Linked DNA regions of Coturnix japonica. The protein of the gene in region 1 interacts with the protein of each later gene in a biochemical or structural test. Links are inferred from orthologs where the notes say so. Each region holds a gene or a part of one and is shown on either strand. Other genes may lie near its edges.

Region 1 (3,820 bases):
AATCCAAGCTGCACTTTGTGCACTGCTTCCTCCCCAAAGCAGCAGGGAGCAGTGGGGACCCCCGGGGGCTGCCGTGCCGTCGGGTGAGCGGCAGTGAGCTGGAGCTGCCAGCTGAGCACTGCGAGCCTGCAGGGCTGATGCAGCTGGATGTGCCCCTGCTGCGTGCTCAGCTCCGCGGGTCCCGCCTGCTTGATGCCCTCCGCATGTACCGTCAAGGTGAGACCCCCCCCCGGCGGGTCAGACCCCCATGCGTGCTCCTCGGTGCCCCCTGGGGATCCCCTTTGGCACACGCTTCACTCTGAGCAGTGCTGCTGCCAGTGTCCTCCTCCCAGCTGTTGTCACACTGGGGACACACATGGCCTTACTTGGGTGTCTGTGCCGGTGCTGCCTGACTGCTGGCTGCTCTCCCGGGCTGTGGGTGACACACGTGTCTCTGCTCTCCCCCGAGGCTGTTTTCTCCCCAGATCTTGGCCAAAATTGTTCAACGTGGCCAAGGAAAGCCTCGTTCCACACAAGAATAAACAAAGGAAAAGGCATGGGGCTGTGCCTGGCCATCCCCCAGGTGTCCCGGCTGCCCCATAGCTGCCCCATGGCCCTGCTCTCCCCACTCCAGGCTACCCCGACCATATGGTGTTTGCTGAGTTCCGGCGGCGCTTTGACGTGCTGGCCCCACACCTCACCAAGAAGCACGGCCGCAATTACATTGTGGTGGATGAGAAGCGGGTACGCAGCCTTGAACCTGTACATCCTGCATCCCACACCCCATGTCCCACACTCTGATGCTTCTCCTTCCCCACAGGCAGTCGAGGAGCTCCTGGAATCGCTGGACCTGGAGAAGAGCAGCTATCATATGGGTCTGAGCCGGGTAGGAGCCCTGCAGGGACATCCCTGCTCTCTGTGGACGGGGCAGGGGTGGGCACATGGCACAAGGGCAGCACTGTGCACTCCCCCTACAGCATTCCTCAGGGAACAAAAGCCCCACACAGGGCCACCCACACTGGGATGAGGGCTGCAGGGCTGGGGATAAAGTCAGAGCACCCCTTTCCCATTGATGTGACACCGGAGGGATGCTGGCATCTCACTGCACTCCCCCCTCCAGGTGTTTTTCCGTGCTGGCTCACTGGCCAGGCTGGAGGAGCAGCGGGACGCGCAGACCAGCAGGAACATCACCCTGTTCCAGGCGGCGTGCAGGGGCTTCCTGGCACGGCAGCACTTCAAGAAGAGGAAGGTTTGTAGTGCTTCTCCCCTCCCCGCTCCTCCGCACACAATTTCGCCTAAAATGGGCAGCGCAGCCTTTCTGCTGCCGCCTGGCCCAGCGCCTCCCCCTCCCGCCTCCACTGAGCTGTGGGGAGTTGTGGGGCCGGCTGTGGGGCTGTGGGCTTGGTGCTGCCCCACGGTGCCGGGATGGAGCAACGGTGCCAGCTCCCACTTTATAATTAAAGACTGCGTAAAATAGGCATCGCTGCAGCACCTCGGTGCTGGAGGCAATCAGATAGATAAGCCGGGGGCAATTAGCCTGCTTGATAATGAAGGGGAGCGTGCCAGGGTGCTGAGCACCCATGCATCCCAGTCGGACGGCGATACCCCAGAGCTGACGCCGTGCCCCGGTGCAGATCCAGGATTTGGCCATTCGCTGCGTGCAGAAGAACATCAAGAAGAACAAAGGGGTGAAGGACTGGCCCTGGTGGAAGCTCTTCACCACCGTGAGGCCCCTGATCGAGGTGCAGCTCACCGAGGAGCAGATCCGTGGCAAGGACGTGGGTATCACCGCACTGTGGGGATGGGGCACGGTGGGTTTGGGGGAGGGTCGGTGTTGGGCAGAGCCCTTCAGGGAGGTGGGATGTGGGACTGTGTGTTGGATGCAGGACACTACAGTGGGTGAGATGCATGACCCCATGGTAGTTGTAGGACCCCATGGTGGATGTAGGAACCTGTAGTGGGGGGGGCACAAAATCCCATGGTAGATGCAGGACTCCATGGTGGATATGGGACCCCGTAGTGGATGAAGGACACTGTGGTGGATACAGGACCCCACCTGGGTGAGAAGCAGGGCACCCCGTGCCCCCCAGCACCAGGCTCAAATTGCTCCCTAATTTGCAAATCAGCGTGTCATTAGCATCCCAAGAGCCGGCTGTTGCAAGAGCCCAATTACAAGGCATGGAGAATGGAAATGAAACCGTGTGCCAGGAGGCGTGCACAGGGGGGAACCAGACACTGTGCCCCCGCCTGGCACAGAGCCACCGCCTGGCTCAGCTTTCACCCTGACCCACTGAGATGGTGTCAGTGCTGAGGGCTGCAGGGTCCCCTCCTGGTCCCATCCCCTCTCCTGGGGTGGGCTCACGGAACCCTCTCCTCTGGAGGCTGCCAGGCGTTTTGGTACCATTTATGGGGTTGGAGTTGTGCTGGGAAAATCCCTGCCCAGCACTTGGCAGGGGGAGCCCCCACACTGCCCGCCCCATGCAGGGGGGTGGGGGTGCTGCCAGCCCCATCCCCTCCCTCACCGCTCTGTTGCAGGAAGAGATCCAGCAGCTGAAGAGCAAACTTGAGAAGGTGGAGAAGGAGCGCAACGAGCTGCGGCTCAACAGCGACCGCCTGGAGAGCAGGGTAGGTCCCAGCCCTGGGGTGGGCTCAGCACGGTGCCGTGTCCCCCCTGCTGTTGCCACATCCCCGCTGTCCCCAGATCACGGAGCTGACATCGGAGCTGACGGACGAACGCAACACGGGCGAGTCGGCCTCGCAGCTGCTGGACGCCGAGACGGCTGAGAGGCTGCGCGCTGAGAAGGAGATGAAGGACCTGCAGGTATCCAACCGTGCTCCCACCCGCCCCCGCCGCCACCACGTGTCCTTGTGGGTGCTCACCATGTCCCCTCCCCAGGCCAAGTACGATGCTCTGAAGAAGCAGATGGAGTCCATGGAGATGGAGGTGATGGAGGCTCGGCTCATCCGTGCAGCCGAGCTCAATGGGGAGCTGGATGATGATGACTCAGGTAGTGTCCCACCAGGGACACAGCGTGGGCACAATGTGGGGTGCCCCATGCAGCATCACCCCGCTCAGCCCCCATTTCCCCTTGCAGGTGGTGAGTGGAGGCTGAAATACGAGCGGGCAGTGCGGGAGATCGACTTCACCAAGAAGCGGCTGCAGCAGGAGCTGGAGGACAAGCTGGAGGTGGAGCAGCAGGGCAAGAGGCAGCTGGAGCGCAAGGTGAGTGCTGCTCTGCACCGCGCTCCCCACCATACCCCCAAACCCACCCTGCAGCGCTGACCCCCCAACCTGCCCTGCCCACAGCTGGCAGACCTGCAGGCGGATGGTGAGGAGAGCCAGCGGGCGCTGCAGCAGCTGAAGAAGAAGTGCCAGCGGCTGGCAGCCGAGCTGCAGGACACCAAGCTGCACCTTGAGGGCCAGCAAGGCCGCAACCATGACCTGGAGAAGAAGCAGCGCAGGTGGGGTTGCGCAGCACGGCAGTGGTGTGGTGACATGGCTGTCAGAGCCTCGCAGAGTGCTTTTACCATTTTAGCTGGGCTTTGGGCACCCCACCAGCTCCCACTTGGCTGAGGTGCTTCACACAGGGAGCGCTGCCTTCGCCCTGCTTTGGGCACAGGGGTGTCTGGGGGGGGGCACCCCTTACCCGTGCAGGGGGACCCTTGTGCCGTGCCGCATGGCTCCGCTCTCTCCCCATCCCCTCTCCCAGCCCCAAAGTTTGCTAACGTTATTAAGCAGCAGGGACGCTTTCATCTCATTATGGTAATGATCGCGCACACAAATACAGCGAGAGAATCCAATCTAATTAATTTCAATTTCCGCGGATTGGAGTCTGTGCTA
Region 2 (2,629 bases), on another chromosome or scaffold:
CCATCAGTCATAAGGAAATAATAAAGACGAGTTCTTTTTTTTTAATACCTGGGGAAATGTAACAAATATTTTCAAATACTGCATATCACTTTTAGTTGATCTGTGTGGTTTGTGTGCAGATCTTCATATGAAGCTAAACATTTTTTGGGAAAAAAAAAAAAAAAAGGAAAAACATCAGTTTGATTTCATTTTTACAATTGCAGTTAAAACTCTTAATATAACTCTCCAACAGCTGTAGTCATGGGCTGTATAATTTAAGCTGATCAACAGCCACATTTAATAGCATATACTGGCTTTTTTGTCCAGTTCTCTGCTTCTTTGTATTTCTGTTTTTCCTGTACTACCTCAATAAGCCTTACTTGCTCTCTCATGTTCTCCTGCACAGTTCATACTTAGTCCTTTCCATTCCTTCTTTCTAGTTCTGTGAGTGTTGGTCAGTAGGTAGAGAGAATGAAAGAGTTCTTGTCAGTAGGGGGCAGGGCTGCAGCACATCCTCACGATTTAGTCTGTTCTTGCCCAGCCCTCCTTCACTTCTGCAGCTTGTAAAGGCAGTTCTTTTCATAAATACAGACATTTCGCCTTAACAACATCAAGTTTGTGCTGGTTCAAAGAAGTTTATGCAATAACTGAAATATATTGTAGGTTTTCCTTGGGGCATGAGCCTGATAAACTTTGGCTCTAAGAAAAATTATTACCATTAGTGCAGTGGCTGAGACTTAGATCAATCCTTTTTGCTTGCACCAGTAATTACTGGTTCTTCTATGGTGCTAGGGTATTTTGCATTTCTCATGGTTGAGAACTGCTGTTTGAAGAATGTTTTAAAAGAGCTCTTTAATCTGGGACCTGATCCTGGGAAAACAGTTGTTCCAGCTGTCGTTATCAGAAGTGCAAGAATACTGCTTCTGTTCCAATGTGTATGAGTTCAAAACCATTGTGGAAATCTTTATATGGATGTTTGAAGCTACATTTGCTAGGCCGGTGTTGCTTATAAGATAACCTCAAAGAGAGGCAAGTACAGGGAATACAGAATGTTGGGTCAAAAAGCCAAGTCTCCCTGTATTAAAAACATCCATCCATCTGTATTGGAATAAATGTGTAGTGGTAGAGATTGGTCACAAGGTGTCACCACAGTACTAGTTTTTATTATCACAGGCGCATCCACATACCAGATTTAGAAGCATCTAAGAAGAATTGTTTGCTCTGTGAAGAGCTGAAAGGACACTGCCATTTGGGGGGTGATGGTGTGTGATAGTTTCATTCGTGGTCAAGCTGTAAAATCCCATGGCAGTAAAGAGTGGGACCTACAGGACTTTTACGATGCAGTTGGTGTCACCCCATTTGTTTACTTGACTTGGCTGTTACTTGCATAAAGCTTGTCACCTTGAACTAAGTGGGAAAGACTTAAATTCTTCTGTGTTTTTATTTATTATTACTGAAAAGTAACAGAAAAATAGAAACACACTGCTGTAGAAGTTGTTATATTGTTTACAGAAAAACTGTTTCTACATGAGAAATGTTCAATGCTGTTTATCTTTCCTCACCTGTAAAAGTGCAGTGGCTTTTTAATATCAGGAGGAGATCTTAATGCTGAAACACCAAGGTAAGCTATACCTAAAAATTTTAGGCAAAGTAAACTTTTAAACAAAGATGGATTTCTCAGTGCTTAACAACTTCAGCTGCATATGTAGCTGTTGGCATACTTTGTGCTTTAAAAATTCCCTTCTCTTAAGTGCATACATGTGCTCTGAAGTGCCCTTGAGAGGAGCGGAAATGGGGGAAAGAGCATAAACTCGAGGATACAGAATAAACAGTTATGTAGGGTAGTTACACATAAACTTAACTTTATGGCAGAAAGAATGGTGGTGACAGTTCTTCCAGTCTCTGAATTGATAAATACTGGAAGCAGACAAATATGTTTTAACTTTTGGTTAGCCCTGAAGAAGTCAGGCAGCTGGTCTAGACAAACTTGGAAGGTTCCTTCCAACTCACCTACTCTGTTCTAAATGGACAAGGATGGAGGAAGTGCTTTTTAAATTCTATATAATAAATGTTTTTGTTATTACTATTAAAACTCTTTGTGACTGTTCTCCATCAGTACAAGAGTGCTTATTTATTGTATTCTCGGTCAAGGCATGACTTAGCTAGCATTTAATCCCAACTTTAAACATACCCTGAAACTCTTCAAATTTGTTCTCATGGTTTCTGTCCTTATTAATGTGTCTGGATAGGTCAGGGATCAGAGAAATGCTGACATGCCCACACTGTCTTACGGTAGTAGTCAGCTATATGAATTTGACAGCTCACTCTGCACCACAGGGAAAAAAAATCACTGTGTAGTTCAGCTTAGTTTTTGCCTGACTAGCTTTTTTGTTTGTTTTTTTAGGTGAAACATGGAACCCGTTAAAGTTGCACTACCAGTTACGAAATGTCCGTGAACGGTTAGCTAAAAATCTAGTGGAAAAAGGTGTACTGACAACAGAGAAACAGAACTTCCTTCTTTTTGACATGACTACGCATCCTCTCACCAACAACAACATCAAACAGCGCCTCATCAAGAAGGTTCAGGAGGCAGTTCTTGACAAATGGGTGAATGACCCGCACCGCATGGACAAGCGTTTGCTGGCACTGG

What was found.
Region 2: the proteins of MYO18A (region 1) and GOLPH3 form a complex in vitro, tested with the Homo sapiens proteins (2 studies listed by IntAct). The link is inferred for Coturnix japonica from reciprocal best matches to the Homo sapiens genes MYO18A and GOLPH3.

What each region holds. Positions count from the first base shown.
Region 1 is NC_029534.1:4,721,225-4,725,044, reverse strand, and holds part of MYO18A (unconventional myosin-XVIIIa), read left to right. Parts: coding exon 1-216; intron 217-613; coding exon 614-723; intron 724-799; coding exon 800-865; intron 866-1,099; coding exon 1,100-1,228; intron 1,229-1,613; coding exon 1,614-1,757; intron 1,758-2,514; coding exon 2,515-2,604; intron 2,605-2,680; coding exon 2,681-2,800; intron 2,801-2,875; coding exon 2,876-2,987; intron 2,988-3,074; coding exon 3,075-3,202; intron 3,203-3,286; coding exon 3,287-3,441; intron 3,442-3,820.
Region 2 is NC_029547.1:8,894,504-8,897,132, reverse strand, and holds part of GOLPH3 (Golgi phosphoprotein 3), read left to right. Parts: intron 1-2,383; coding exon 2,384-2,629. UniProt on the Homo sapiens protein: Phosphatidylinositol-4-phosphate-binding protein that links Golgi membranes to the cytoskeleton and may participate in the tensile force required for vesicle budding from the Golgi.